Linked DNA regions of Xenopus tropicalis. The protein of the gene in region 2 interacts with the protein of the main gene of each other region in a pairwise test. Links are inferred from orthologs where the notes say so. Each region holds a gene or a part of one and is shown on either strand. Other genes may lie near its edges. The genes, in order: cpsf4 and fip1l1.

Region 1 (8,346 bases), on a different chromosome or scaffold from region 2:
GCTGAGGAAGAGAGTTAGAAATGTAAAGGAGAATGAAAACCTACTGACAATCCTAGGACCCCTCAACAACAGAGATAGGTGCCATTATAGGACTGCTCTTTTATTTGTTTATACAATTTGTTAAAGAGCCCCAAACAACACAGAAATCTGTAATATACCTATCATTGTAATCTGTTCCTTCAAAAACCATGAATAAATACAATTTTTATGTGCTGAAATCTATCCGCAAAATAGTTCTTCTCTTTCTGCATCATTTGAAATCCTTGCAGGAGGGACTAAAACATTGATTATACAAATTCTCCACAGCTTACAGACATCAAGCAGGAACTACATAACCCACAATTCATTGCACTATAATGTTTCTTTCCTTATTGACATGATGTCTGCAAGGAATTTTGGGATTTGGAGGATGCAGGCTGAGGCAGTAGACTACTGTTATATTTTATTTGAATCTCAAAGTAGTGATCCAGATAAGGAGGAGAACAGGGGCTAGGCTTAGAACAGTTTAAAACCATATTATTACATTAAAAATCATGAAAAGGCTGCATATCTTTTAATTGATTTATATTGCAAAATTGCTTACACTTTTTGAAAAGTACATCATTTAAGTTGTGTTTGGGTGGAGTTCCCCTTTAAATTATTGTCCACAGACACTTAGCATGAAGTACAGCACAGGGGTGTATTTATTAACATTGGAGATAAACATCACTGGTGATGTTGCCCATACCAAGCTGATCTTTGCTTTTGCTTTCTAACTTGTAGGTGTTTGTCTCCAGTGATAATAAATAATCCCCCAAAATGTTGTTCTTTTGGATGCCCTACAATAGATTGCAAAATATATGCTATTATAAAGAATTAAAGAAATATAATATACAAAATCACTTTATCTCTCTTTATTTCTTTTATATTAGGGATGCACCATTTCCAGAGTTCGATCCTTGGACAAATAAAAGCATTATTTTAAATTGCAAATTAGGGTCCCAGTTTTTGTGGGTATTCTGCCAGTTTTTGAAAATTATGGATTCGGTGCATCACCAATGTACATAGGTAGAGAGAGAATAATATATTTCACTTTTTTAAACTATCTGTCTTATCTGTGCAGGCGGAATGTGTCCGTTTAGACATATCAGTGGGGAGAAGACAGTGGTCTGTAAACATTGGTTACGAGGCCTTTGCAAGAAGGGAGACCAGTGTGAATTTTTGCACGAGTATGATATGACTAAAATGCCAGAGTGCTACTTCTACTCCAAGTTTGGTAAGTGATTGTATTATTTAATAGGTTTTATTGGCATTAAAGTCTATTTTTAAAGGTTATACCTGTGGTGGTCAGTACCTCACTCTTTTTTATATTAAAAAGTTAATGTTTAATTTATTTCTTTTTGTTCTTTTTTCTTCCATAACCAGTGGTGCATGTATTGGCTTATATTATTAACCCTTTACACAAAGCTACTGGGCAGTGTGGTGTATGTTAGGGGATATGGCCAGCACAATCCAGAAAATCTGAACGATTCTTAACAAGACCCCTTTCTAAATTTTTTTTAAGGATTAGTGCACCCACTTTTTCATAAATTCAATGATCAGAGCTTGTGCTAAATATATATATTTGAAGTAAGAATTATGAATGCTTTTTGATTGTTTTCAACCAGATAGCTAGTTTGATAATTACAGCATATTAGTTGAATTATTTTTTGTTTGTATTTGTTAGGTGAGTGCAGTAACAAAGAGTGCCCATTTTTGCATATTGACCCGGAATCAAAGATAAAAGACTGCCCATGGTATGACAGGGGCTTCTGTAAGCACGGTAAGATTATAGGACCTTATAAAATCTTTGCCATTTTATATTGTACAAAGGAATGTCAGTGGCCCTTAATTTATATTATGTCTTTTCAGGGCCCCTCTGTAGGCACCGGCATACTCGAAGAGTAATTTGTGTCAATTACTTGGTGGGATTCTGTATCGAAGGCCCTAACTGTAAATTCATGCAGTGAGTACATTTATTTTCCATCTTCTTCACATGTACTCATTTAGTGACTTTCCAGACATGTGGTATTCATACCTGCTGAATTTGTGTTCTTCCCAAATAACATTTTATAGATTATATTTAGAAAATGTTTGTGTCAAATAGTGAAGGGTAGGGAATTAACAGAATTTGCACAGGTCTGTGCACTCCAAAACAAAGCACAGATATCTGTGTCTGCCCCATAAAATACATTGCTGCCTGTGGTCAGCAGTTCTGTATTTGTGAGGGAGGGACTGGGATAAGAGCTTTTTATGATATCCCCTAGAAAAAAAAAAAGCTCAAATGATTTATAGATAAACTTTTAGTATTGCCTTACTATGTTGTGTTTCCATAGGAGTAAACTGTCAGCAATCTAACTCCACTGCTTTTTTGTATTTGGCCCCAAAACTTTGTATAGGAAAAATGGGGACATACCAGAAGTGTTAGTGTCCCTTTAATGGACAAAGTTATATATGATGAAGACAACCATAGATTTGCTAGTGTTGCCTGAACACTAGCAAGTGATTGTTAAAGCTTATTAATGAGTGTCTTCATTATAATACCCCTTTAAAAAGAGATTATGCTGGAAATATTATCAAACTTTTATGGGGGTTATGAGGGAATTAGACTTACTGTTTTCTTAATATAATTCTGCAGTCCACGTTTTGAATTACCTATGGGAACCACAGAACAGCCGCCTCTACCCCAGCAAACACAGACTCAACAGAAGGTATTTGTCTATTTACACTTTGCAAACTTACACTATGCAAAATTATGGTTTAAGAGTTCTTACAGGTTTATTTTTTATCTCCAGCAAAATAATAACCAGGTGTTACAAAGGTCATCCTCACTCATTCAGCTAACAAGCCAAAACTCTCCTGTCAGCCAACAACGTTCCCCACAGACAATCGGTGTCATGCAGTCACAAAGTGGCAACCAGGGGAACCGGGGACCTAGGCCACTGGACCAAGTTACCTGCTATAAGGTCAGAATTTATCTAATGTATGATCTTTATCTATGATCTTTAAAATAATAGAATTGTTTTTTTTAAAGAATCATTCTGCCTTTCAAAGCATTTGCTCTGTTGAAAAGTTCACCATTGAAAGCTTCTGAAATCTAAGCCCAGATAAATGATTTGTGTTAACACAGGGGGTAAGCCTGAGATATGCAGGGGCATTGCACTTGCTTTTTTTTTTAAAGCACAGCTCTAATCACTGATGCAGTGATCACATGACTAGTGATAAGTGAATCTGTCCCGTTTCGCAGAAAAAATTGCGAATTTTTGAAAAGATTCACAAAAGAGAGGAAATTCTTTGAATTTTCTTGTGGGAAAGTGGGCATCCAACCATTTTAGAGGCTGTTATACATTAATTGAATGTCTATAACTTCGGCAAAGAGAACTAACCCCTAAAAACAAATATGAGCAGAAATGTCATACTTGCATCTATAATTAGCACATAAAAATATATAGCTAAGAAGTAAAATGCACATAAATTTAAAAAATTCAATTGGAGCAGTAGCTAAAACAGTGGCAGGTACTATATTTATAGATGGTTGTACTAACAGGGCAAGAAGGGAAACTACTAATATAAAGAAAAGAGCACCTCAAATAATATGCATTTATACAAATACATAAAAATATTAAAATCAGTACAATAAAACCTTCAAGAGACTAAATCTGATACATTGTCTAGGTAAAGACCATTTATCTGAATTGCCAGACAGTCACATATGAGATATAATAGTGTATGTGACTTTCCAGATTCTATACCTGTAGTGAAATACTACAGGTATAGAATCTATTATCAGCAATGCTTGGGACCTGGGGTTTTCTGATAAGGGATCTTTCTGTAATTTGAATTACCTTACCTTAAAGGACAAGGCAACGCAAAATGTAATTTTTTGCCTAATAAAACAAACCAAAATTCTAAGCACCTTTGCAATATACATTTATTACATGTTTGTAATGGTTTTTGAGTTATTTGTATTTATAATTGCTATTAGAAGCAGTGTTTGCCTGTCCTTTTCTATTCTCTGCTCTGGTGGCTCTGACTGTTGAAACATTGTAACACAAGCCAGCAGACTGACAGACCTGACTTGCTGGAGAAGCAAGACCTTTGCAACATTGTTTAAACTGTAACAACCAGAAGTTCAGCAAATGCAGCTTTCAATAGCAATTATATTTACAAATAACATTTTTAAAGCGCTACAAATTTTTAATTATTTCATATTGGAAAGTTGCTTAGAATTATTATGGTTTCTTTCATTATGCAAAAAATTATTTTTGGGGTTGACATGCCCTTTAAGCCTTCTAAAAATCATGTAAACATTAAATAAACATAGTAGGTTTGTTTAGCCAATAATATTGGCTAAACAATAATAATAATAATAATAATAATATTGGCTTAGTTGCCATCCTGTAATTCAGGATATTGGATTTTAGGATAAGGGGTCCCATACCTGTAGAACATACACATTTGCTGTCCAAAGAAATAATTGCTGATAATTTGTACATAAACGGGACCTGTTATCCAGAATTCTTGTGACCAGATAAGGGGTCTTTCTGTAATTTGGATCTCCACACCTTAAATCTACTAAAAATGTATTTAAACATTAAATAAACCCAATAGGATTATTTTGCCACCAATATGAATTAATTATATCTTCGTTAAGATCAAGTACAAGGTACTGTTTTATAATTACAGAGAATTAGATTTAAATGGAGTCTATGAGAGATGGCCTTCCTGTAATTTGTAGCTTTCTGGATAAAGGGTTTCCGGATAACTAATCCCATACCTATACTTGTTGATCCCCAACCTTTTTTACCCGTGAGCCACATTCAAATGTAAAAAGAGTTGGGGAGCAACACAAGCATAAGACATGTTCCTGGGATTCCAAATAAAAATTGTTATTGGATGTTTGGTAGCCCCTATATGAACTGGAAGCCTACAGGGTGTTCTGTTTGTCAGTACATCTGTTTTTATGCAACTAAAACTTGCCTCCAAGCCAATAATTCAAAAATAAGCACCTGCTTTAAAGCCACTGGGAGCAACATCCAAGGGGTTTCGGAGCAACATGTTGCTCAGGAGCCACTGGTTGGGGATAACTGGGTTACACCCTAAGAAAAAAATTGGTACAAAGCTCAGAGTGCCACTGCACTTAATCTATATTCAAGTAGTTAATTTTGGTATTAAATGTTTCTTTTTCTTTCTTATTGCAGTGTGGTGAGAAAGGACATTATGCCAACAGATGTACAAAAGGTCACTTGGCTTTCTTGAGTGGGCAGTGACAAGTGGTTTGGGGTATGGACATAATTCTTGTAAGGACGCAGTGGACAGACGTTTCCTTTTTAATTTTGACATCAAGATGCTGGAGACTTTTCCTTGTTCTTAAGTAAATATTGGGATATTTTCTGCTATTTACTCTGAGCAGTTTATTGGAATCTTCTCCTGCCAAGAACTGTTTGGCAAAGTGAAAGTTTTTGCCAGTAACTATTTTTTTAAATAAAAAAATGTAAATGTATTTTTATTTCTTTTTATTTCTTTAATATAACTTTTGTACAGATTAGATCAAATGCCAACAGTTCTCTTGAACTTAACATTGTTAATAAAATCTATTTTAGTGATGACTGGAAACTGATTACTGTATCTTAATAGACTTCTAATGAACTAACCAGTGTTACCTATTATTTTAGAAAAAAATGGGTCAAGTTTGATTGAAAACAAAATAGTCATATGAAAAAGTTTGGGAACCCCTCTCAGTCTGCATAATAATTTACGCCACTTTCAACAAAAACGGTAACAGTGGCATGTCTTCATTTCCCAGGAACATCTGAGTACTGGGATGCTTTCTGAACAAAGATTTTTAGTGAAGCAGTATTAAGTTGTATGAAGTTAAATCAAATGTGAAAAACTGGCTGTGCAAAAATTTGGTACCCTTGTAATTTTGCTAATCAAAGGCTATAGGAGGTGTGTAGAGGCTGTTACATTTGCAAAAGGAGGCTCAACTAAGTATTGATGTAATATCTTTGTTAGGGTACCCAAATTTATGCACCTGTCTAATTTTGTTAAGATGCATATTTTCTGTTAATCCAATAAACTTAATGTCACTGCTGAAATACTACTGTTTTCATAAGGCATGTTATATATTAAAAGGAAGTTGCTACTTTAAAAGCTCAGCCAATGATAAACAAAACTCCAAAGAGAAAGAGAGGTTCCCAAACTTTTTCATAAGACTGTACCTTTATTACCCCATTATGTTAGCAGACATGCTCCTTCTGACTCCATATATACACTACATTCTATGGATAATAGGCTCAGAGTGCCACAGAATGTAGATTCGATGTTCTCCAGCACTTCTTGGTGTAAATATGAGCCACTCCTTTATTCCTTTGCCCCAAGCAAAAAGTGGAAGGGAACAGGGCAAAGTAACTAAGGGGCTCCTAGCTAGTAGCAGACACATGGAAACAATATGCCAGCACTGGACTGGAAATCTGTAGGTTCTGGTAGCAGCCATTGGGGCTGCTGCAAGGTGCCATAGACAACCACTGGGCCTGTGCAGTTCTGTTTGGGCATCTCTGTACAGTGCCAGGGCCTTTTTGAATCTCAGTCCAGACCTGTCTCCAGGGTTGAAGCCAGTGCGGTGCTCACCATTATTGCAGCTGTCAATTGACTATGGCCACACTCACCACATGCTTACATAAATACCAGTGGAGACAGATTGTGTTGACCACTACAGCTATCAGTGGAAACCAGCAGACAAAAGGTCTGTTGTCATTGCTCTGACTGCCCTATTGCACAAGGAACACAACATTTAATAACATTAGGTGAGATGAAAAGCAGACAGGCACTTTCTGCTTGCACATCATTGTTTTCCTCTGTCAGAGGTACAAATTGCCCTGTGTGCAACTGGTCTAAAGGTGGCCACACACGTTGCACGAAAGATCATTCCCATCCTCCATAGATGTTCAGATAATCGTCAGATATGGAGGTAGTAACAAAAGAATTTCTACCTCCTTCTGCCGATTCAGCCCTGAAGGTAGATTTTGCTCAGGCGCCTTCAATGGCGCCCGATCGGCGAGTCGACCATACACGTACCGAATATTGTACGAAACGAGGTGTATGTCCAGCTTAAAGGTGGACATACACCTTACAATAACTATCTTTCCTGCAACCACTGGTTAATGTTAAGAGCTGATTCGTCAGATATGCAGGTAGAAACAATAGGTATTCTACCTCTATCTGATAATTCAGAATTAACGTATAGGCCTAGTCAACACACCAGTATACACACTTTATTAACATGAGCTCCATGAATAGGGCTTCTGTTTAACATACTTTTTGCCTATTGTTTTAAAAAAAGGAAGGTTTTGTTTATACAGAGCTCTTTATCTCCATTTAAAGGCAGAGGTTGACAAATTGCACTGTATGTCACTGCTCTAAGATCTCTTAAACGGACAATGTACACTTTAACATGAACTCCATGAATGAGGTTTGTGTTGAACATACAATATTTTTGCCTCTTGTTTCAAGCAAGAAAAGGAAATGAAGGTTTTCTTTATAAAGAGCTCTTTAGTGCCATTTAATGGGATACTGTTATGGGAAAACATTTTTTGTTAGCTTACATCACTGTTCTCCTTTAGACTAATAGCATGTGCTAGTGGAGAAAGCTTTTTGTGTATTAGTGGAAACATTGCTAAAACTGCCTATACTGCCTCCAGCTTCCAAACCAAAATTTGTTAAAGAGCCCCACACAACAGAAAAAAACCCCTAATATACCTATCACTGTAATCTGTTCTTTCAAAAAGTATGAACAATTTTATTGCTGAAATTCAGCTGCATAACAGTACTTTCTGCATCATTTAAAACCCTTACAGGGGAGGAGGAACTAAAACACTGATGTTACAAATGGTAACACATTGTCCAAGTCTTACAGACATCATGCTGGAACTACATAACCCACAATGCATTGTAATGCATTGTGGGTTATGTAGTTCCAGCATGATGTCTGTAATTCCCTGCACACGTGATGTGATGTTATTGACATCACGTGTGCAGGGAATTGTGAGACTTTTTCCAACCATTACTCATAGTCTGGGGGTAATTTCATGCACAGTATATGAGGCAATAGGAAATCCTCTGCTACATTATATACTGTTACAGACATTAAGTCCCAACACCCCAGAAAACCCTCTCACCCTTTGAAAAAGCAGGCTATGCTGCATGAAAATTTAGCCATAGTCAAATCTTCAGCACTGCTGAACATACATCTATGTATTAGAAGCAGGTGTCAGAATAGCATTCATCAGAAGAATAGGAGGAAAATCTCTGAAAACCTCCTGAAATTAC
Region 2 (8,346 bases):
GGTTGCTTGCAACCAGCTGGTAAGATATGGAATCTTATCAATGGCTAACAGCAGTCAGAAGCACCTTTAGCAAAACCAGGAAAATCAATGCAAGAAGAGCATAAGCATCCTACTAGACCAGAAATCCCAAAAACATTTTTTTACTTGCGAGCCACACATATTTAAAAAGTGTTGGTGAGCCACCTAAGCCTGAAAAAAGTTCTTTGGGGGTGCTAAATAAGGGCTGTGATTGGCTATTTGGTAGCCCAATGTGGACTGCTAGCCTGAAGGAGGCTCTGCTAGGAGTAAAACTTTGTCCAAAACTTGCCTCCAAGCCAGAAAATTAAAAATGGGCACCTACTTTGAGGGGACTGGGGGCCATATCAAACGGGGAGGTGAGCAGCATGTTGCTCAAGAGTCACTGTTTGGGGATCACTGTACTAGACAAATAAATGGAAACTGAAAAATGGGGAGGCACTGGGTGAAAGTATTTAGCATTGCCACCATAACTATTTCTGTTTCCACCACACACTGTAGGGAGTATATTCGGTGTTCACCTGGTCCTCCCTCTTCCCTCCGATTTTTTGCCATGTTCTAAAAACAGGGAGAGTGGTTCACAGGCTTCCAGTAAATTGCCTCTAGAGTGAGTGTGTACCAGTGGTAGGAAAAGAGTTTAAGTTTCTATTATGTAAGGACAATCTCTTGACTATGCCGCAAACTGTCTTTCTACTATGAAAGTAAAGCATAGTAACTTAACATTAAAAAGGTAATTTTAGTGGTAGCAATACCATATAGATGCCACGTGTTTTAACATGGTTATATGCCATAAAAATCATGTAGAAAATATGAGTTGCATTACCCTACGTTGTAGAGGCTCCATGAGAAAAGGTGGACTCCTATGATGTCACATAAGCAAATTACATTTATAGATCATTTATGTATGACCACTTATGGTGGCCATACATGGCCTGACTCTGTTTCTCTGGAGCAAGTCAACTGCTTATTGGCCATTGTATATAGCTGTCTGATGGGCACGTCCAACCAATATCTGGCTATATCATATCAGCATGATTTGACTTGAAATCCCATTGAACAAGAACTGAGTCGGCACGTAGATGCTGTTCTCGTTCAACAGGCCTTTGTAGGCCTGTATCTAAAATATGTTACCTCTAATCCATTTGAAACAATGAAAATAAACTGAACATATTGCTCTGTACAAAAACGAAAATGAATTCTTGAAATGACACAGAACTCCATAAAAACAAAGTTATTGGATAGCCAATCACAGAGCAGCTTTCTGTTGCACTCCCCATTCAGCAGCCAAGGTGTTAACCGGACTCTACAGGGCACTTTCCTGATATAATGCAAGTTCAGTTTTTTCTTGCAAATGAGCTTCACAAGGAAGACTGAAGCCTAAAAAGGCAACTTCAAAGCATCTTCTGTTTTCAAAAGAACTTCCACAGGATGTTTTATATTTGCAATTCTGGATTTTTGGCCATGTCTCCTAGTTAATGTGAGGTAACAACTGGGCCTTTTCTCCCCTATGTTAAATGAGGAGGTATGGCACAATGCTATTTTTGTAGCAGCTTTGAAGATAAAGAGTTGGCTAGAGTGCAAATAAAACAAGGACCATTGGGAGCCAAAGCCACAGCCTTGCATGGTTTGCTGCAGATGTACAGCGAGCACTGATTTATGGGGAGAAAGATCGCCAGAAACCTGCTAGCCTAACAAGAAGGGGTGCAAAGTTCTTTCTAGATAATGTACTGGTCTCCATCCTTCATATTTGTGTCATTAGTTCCAAACTTACAAAGAAAAAGTCAGGAGAACTACTGCTTTATCATTTCCAGCTAAATCACAGATATCATCCCCATTAGGACATAAATTAAGAGTTAATGCACAGAGGCAGCATAAGCAGTTTATCTGCTTAATTACACAAAATATAAGGCATATTAAAAACAATTTTCTTCCAACATCCAGGCAATTTTGATATCTGTTGAGATATATTTATCTTTAAATGAAGGTGAATTATTCACATTCCCTGGTCATCATCAAATACAGTTGGTGTTTCAAACAAGCCTAAGGATGCATATCACTCCCAGTGCAATACCCACAAAGAACTACATCTGGGTTTAAAAACTAACACCAGTCACTGGACATTGTCATAACAGCTTTTTGAAAACAGAAGGTATTCACATGCCTCATGCTAGGCACACAGTACTGCCTTAAAGTGGATGTTGTCATCAACAAGTCCCTATTGCAAAATAAGTACTGTGACAATAGGGACTTACAAGATTTAAAGGAAACTGTCAGGTTCAGCACTGTTCATTTCCTAATCCCCTCGCAAAGCCTCCGAGCTTAGCAAGCGGTAGTGATGTGTAGCACACCCTAACCCCCCCAGACCTAACTTGTACGACCTGCATCATCAATTATATACCAGCGTCTGACCAGCCCATCTCAGATGTCGCTGAAGGGGGTGGGCCAGAAAGAGCATGAGTGTATAAAAGAATGCCAACAGGAGGATGTAGGAGGAAAGGTTGCAGCAAGAGATAGGGCTTTGGGTGGGCTATGGGTATAGCAATGCCTATAGAAACATGTTGCGCCAGATTAAACCCACCTGAGTGTTGTATGGGCCAACCTGACACAACCTGCTAAAAAGGCCCTATTGTCAGAATTTTTATTTAGCTGATGTTATAAAATGGAAAGCAGCAGGCAATGGGAGGAAAATAATTCAAAGGGGGGTCACTGACCAAAGCAGCCATACAATTATTGCTCTGTGAGACAAACATTTTATTGATACTTTTTATTCATTACCTTTGTATTCAGACCCGAGCCTAGTCATGTTTTATTGTCTCATTCAAACCAATGCAGCAAATCTGCGCTACTAAGGGCAACAAATCTAAAAAATGCCTTGCCATTGCATAATATTAAAATCTATGCAAGTAAAACATATTACTCACAGTGGTCCAGCTTACTCAAGGGAAATTGACTTCTGACACATTTTCCAGCAATTAAGCTGGATTGTGACATGAGTGATTTGTTTTACTTGTGGCAATCCTAATGTTATGCAATGGCAAGGCATTTTTGGGATATTATTTTACCGCCATTGCCCTAAAACGTAGTTTGGTACTGGCCAAAGAACATGCAAGTGTATAAATCCTAAACACGTGCTGAAGGAAAGATATGAATGGAACAAGAAACAAAAAAGGGAGGGGGAAGAAAGGGTCCAGATGTGTGTATATTTTCCTTGGCTAGGGATTAGCTGTGTGTCTGGTTGTATCAATACAATAAACAGCAGTTTTACATTGCTGTATGATAAGTACAGGAAGAAATATTACAGATAAAACATAGAACAGAGTGAGACTAATGACTTCTGTTTTGACAAGATAGCCACTGTTTACTGTATCTGCATCTTAAAGCTTCTCTGTATTTAAGGTTTTTAACTCTTCTTTCAGCATATATATTATATCCAGCATATATATGAATTATTTCTTGGCAACAAATACTCTATTTTATGGAATGGTTTTCAGTCTACAGTCATGAATGCTACTTAAAAGAGGTTATCTTCCTGTGTATGAACTAAACCCATTTTATTCTATACAGCTTATGTCACCTGCTATTTAAACATGACCCTTTTTGCCCTGTTCAGCTTGAATGCCTGCCCCATGGTTACAAAGCATCTTATTAATATAAACTGTAGTAGAGTTTCTGAAGCAATGAAGTATTTTGTTAACCAGTGCAGGGGTAACAGCACATTATTTTTTAATGCAAACATATACACTTTAGTTTCATGTTTTTTCTGTTCCTGTAATGCTTGTTCAGTTTTACAACTTGTTCAGCTGTGAGTACGTGTAATGCAGGTTTGGCACAGGAAACTGCTGCACTTTTTTTTATAGCTCCATACTATTTTACACTACTCCTCAGTTTCCCAAGTGTAAAGTTTAGGGTATGACCTCTTGTTCTAGCAATTCTTTTCTCTGGGTGCATACTGTCCCACTCAATTTGGGCCAGTATATTCAGTACCTAGTGCTTCCTGCATAAAAGGTAAAACACACTGCACTCTTACTTGAAACACACTAAGCACCAGATATTCTAGAAAGTGCACGTTAAACTCCTTGATTCTGGCAATTTGTTCCAACATAAAATAAAAAGCATTGAAAACTGAAGGTGAAACAAGAATTTTGCTGATACTTACCAGGAGGTGGGATGAGAGGTGGAGCAGTACTGACATTTGGTGGTGGAGGAAAAAGTGGAGGTGGTGGTAGGTGTGTGGGGGGTGCTCCAGGAGGGAAAAATGGTGGGGGTGGCTTGATAAAATTATTATCCACTTCAGAAGGAGACTGTTCTGAAACTACCTGAAACCATAAAAGGCAGAAATAACTTGAGGATATTTGAGACATCCAGCAAACTTAAAATGTACTATCTTATGTTTATCAAAGCAAAAGAGAAGCTAAAGTCACTGTGAATATAACCACTTACCCTGTACTGGTGCTCCTGTTTGCTGAAAACTGCACTGACCTGTGGTACTTTTATTTGTGCACCATATTGCAAATATTCTATTTCCTACTTTCCGCAGTGGACCTGGGTCTGCGCATGTGCAGTAAGTGAAAAAGCTGGATTTTTGCAAATACTTCAAGCTTTTCACTCTACTACACATGCAAACCCCATGCAAAGAAGTTTGAAGCTGCACCCATTGCCCAAAAGGTACCTCAGGCCAGTGTTTTCAACTAGCAGGAGCACAGTTCCAGGGTATCAAGTAAGCAATTATGTAGCACCCACAGTCAAGCCTCCCATATCTCTGTTTTCTGACCCTCATATCAACCAAACTGAACCTTTAGATGTCCTAAAAACACATAAGACCTATTTCAGTCATAGACTTATGGAAGAGTTATAGTCATTATACCATCTTCTACAAACATATATATGCAATATATGGATGCATATTCTGTTTCCATGTCCCCCCAACTATTCAACCCTTCTTCCAATCAGGTCACTAACTGGGTACTCTTATGTTTATGAAGATTTTCATTCATCCAGGTCATGGTATATCTAGTACAAATAAATTTAAAGCAACTGGACTTGTTTGGTAATCATTGAAGACGTTTCACTACTCATCCGAGCAGCTTCTTCAGTTCAACTCTTATCAAAATCTGCAAATACTGCTGGGCTGCTTACTCAAAGCAGAATGTATCATAGCATTTTATGACGAATCATTTCTATTCTACTCCCACAGACCTTCACCATAATGGAGGTTCCTCCAGCCCATGAATAAAGTTAACGCTTTCCTTTTTGGTTGGGAAAACTATTACTACCATCACGTGATCAATGGTCTACAGTCTCCAGCAACAGAAAATTTGTAGCATTTAAGGGTTTTGGCACACGGGGAGATTAGTCGCCCGCGACAAATCTCCCCAAAATGCCATCCCACCAGCGAAAATGTAAATCATCGGTGGGATGGCATGCGCGGCGGTGGGATGGCATTTCAGGGAGATTAGTCGCCCGCTAACAGGGAGATTTGTCGCAGGCTAAGTAGTCTTTATTTATATTAATACTTTATATGTATCAAGTTGTTAGCAAGTACTTTTCCCCCCAATGAAGGCAGTTTTGAAAAGACAAAACAGGTCTGTCACTGGTTAATTAGGAATTTACTGTACCTGGATATTGCTTTCATTTGCACCTCGCCGCCGTCCCTCTACACGAGTGATAGTGGTTGTCTGACCAATCACATCAATTGCGCTTGAGGTTTTTCGACTGTAAAACAATTAATAAAGGACATCCAGAAGTCAGATGTGATAAATTGTCATTGCTTAACAGTATCTCTCATTAATTAATCCAACCACACTAAGGGAGAGTCATCTACAAGCTACTCAAGGCCATAAAAGTTGCAATGTGTTAATTTAATCAATTGATGAAAAAAGTCCATTTGAATAAATCTGGGCATTTGGTCTGTGGGCAGAAAAAAACATCATAAAATTTGCAATGTTGGCATTTATGACTATGGGCCAAGTCCTCCTAGTTTTTGCCCAATGACTATTAGAATTTATCAAAATAAAACTGAAGTTTTGTAACAAGCCCTTACTAATCAAAAATTAAAACCACTATGTTATGATTATTAGCTAGTTAGAGAGCCTTTAGTCAATAAATAATTTCCACACAAAATCTATAAAGTTCTCATCCGCACAATCTTCAAGTTTTGCTACAATGCATTTGCACTCTATAAATGAATCATATTCACCTTGGAGGAGGAACACCAGGTTTGAATAATGAAGTGGGAGAAGTAAACTCTGGTTTCACACTCTGCAAGACTGTATCCTTTTCTGCATTGCCCGTTCTTCCCTGCTGTACCTGTGAATAAATCAAGGCCTAAGCAGTTGCAAACTCACCCTAGATTTGTGCTCCCAATTCTGCTTAATCTGTGCACTTTAACAAAATCCAACTTTTCCCTATTATGCATTTTCAAGAAGAACCCAACATAATTTATCAGTAACTGTTAAACAAAAAGGGGGTAGTTCACAAAAGCGGTGATATTGACGCAAAATAAAAGTGGAGATTGATTTGTTTTCAGCCTTATTCACAAACCTCTATCTCTACCTTTGTGAATTTATCTTTTAAACAGATAGTTTTCAGATTTTGTTTTTTAGATGATATTTTAGTGATATTTATTATGAATTTGTCTTTAACTCTTAATAAATCCGTCAGTGCTATCAAACCCAGTCCCACATCTACATTTTGCATTTCATTTGCCAGACATTTCAGTCGAGAGGCATTTCCTTAAAGTTTTTCAGGACAAGCTGGGCTGTGTGTTTGTTTTGAAATGTTTGTGTAACTCCATTTGTTACAAGATTTAAGGGGCTAAATATCTTCTTCATGGGAAGAAGTGAATCAAGGGCCCACCCCCTGCACTACTTCTCTACTCCCCCTGCCCCCCCACACACTGATTACTGGTCAACAAAAATCTGGCCCACCCACCAACATGTCAGATGAAAAGGGGCCCAACAGTTTTTCCCCAGTGCCCTGTTGGGCCAGTAAACCTTGAATTTACAGAACCCCAATATCCAAGTTTGGGTTCCAGTGCACATGTGGTTCTTGCTGATTACCAAGATGGCTGCTGAAAACTGAAATGACACAGCTAAAGGTGGGGGGGCAATGCCGTCAAGCATCTTGATAGTTCTGTATAGATGCACAGATATGTTATGGCAAGGTAAAAACTTTTTTTATATACAAGATTGTATACATTACAATTTTTTGTTTAATCAATGTTTTACTTGTTTATAAAAAGTTAATAAAGCTTTTTTGCACCTTTTGTTTTAGGGTTAGACAGAAACTTGACCCTTGCTATCCCCATTAATATACTAATGCAGTGTTTTTCAACCTTTTTTGGGCAAAGGCACACTTGTTTCATGAAAAAAATCACGAGGCACACCACCATTAGAAAATGTTAAAAAATTTAACTCTGTGCCCAGCAGCAGTGCCCCCCTAGTACATTGGTGCCCAGCAGCAGTGCCCCCCTAGTACATTGGTGCCAAGAGCAGTGCCCCCCTAGTACATTGGTGCCCAGCAGCAGAGCCCCCCTAGTACATTGGTGCCAAGAGCAGTGCCCCCCTAGTACATTGGTGCCCTGCCTACGGCACACCAGGCAACATCTCGCGGCACACTAGTGTGCCGCGGAACAGTGGTTGAAAAACGCTGTGCTAATGAGCCCCCAATGACGTTTTAAAGACAAATTCACAAAAATGTCTCTATGCTGTCTTTCTTTCACCAAAAACGGAAAAGTGGCAGTTGAGTCGGAATTTAGGCAGATTTCTGTTCCACACCGTTATTAAGGAGTGCCAATACAATCCTTTTCTACAACCCATGTAGTAATGTAATAAAATGTGCAAAGTTTGCTACTGGCTGCAATGGGTGACTAGACCAATGCAAACAATGCAGCTTTGATCTCTGTCTGACAGAATTAATCAGAAGAATTAATTTGTAACTTGTAAGGAAATGTTATTTATTTATGCATACTAGTAGATGCTACTCTGTTGGATGCCTAGGCTAAACCATTCCTCCTAAAACACTGATTAGTGGTCAAAAATTTTTAAAGTTCTACTACTGTTACTGATAAAATCACTAGGGTTTCTATTTATAAATATTTTCTATTAATAATGTGATTTTCCAAACTTAAAGAATCTTTACATAACCAATAATTAATTCACACCATGCTATTTCTTACTGCAGCCTGACATTCTGTATACACACATGAAAACAGAACAACTCACTTCAGACTTTTGTTTGTCATAGCAGCGGATGCAAGATATGGACAGTTATCTTGAATCTTATAAGACTATCCCCTCCACAGACTAGACAGGGTGGAGCAGGAAAATCGTT

Evidence for each region.
Region 1: the proteins of fip1l1 (region 2) and cpsf4 interact in binary tests that used the Homo sapiens proteins (3 or more experiments, as listed by UniProt). The two-hybrid records come from large-scale screens. The link is inferred for Xenopus tropicalis from reciprocal best matches to the Homo sapiens genes FIP1L1 and CPSF4.

The regions. Positions count from the first base shown.
Region 1 is NC_030685.2:47,251,373-47,259,718, reverse strand, and holds the end of cpsf4 (cleavage and polyadenylation specificity factor subunit 4), read left to right. Parts: intron 1-1,102; coding exon 1,103-1,255; intron 1,256-1,705; coding exon 1,706-1,801; intron 1,802-1,860; coding exon of another isoform or gene 1,861-1,890; coding exon 1,891-1,984; intron 1,985-2,656; coding exon 2,657-2,729; intron 2,730-2,813; coding exon 2,814-2,984; intron 2,985-5,219; coding exon 5,220-5,288; 3' UTR 5,289-5,634; downstream 5,635-8,346. UniProt on the Homo sapiens protein: Component of the cleavage and polyadenylation specificity factor (CPSF) complex that play a key role in pre-mRNA 3'-end formation, recognizing the AAUAAA signal sequence and interacting with poly(A) polymerase and other factors to bring about cleavage and poly(A) addition.
Region 2 is NC_030677.2:39,669,672-39,678,017, reverse strand, and holds part of fip1l1 (pre-mRNA 3'-end-processing factor FIP1), read right to left. Parts: intron 6,322-8,346; coding exon 6,212-6,321; intron 5,728-6,211; coding exon 5,631-5,727; intron 4,332-5,630; coding exon 4,172-4,331; intron 1-4,171.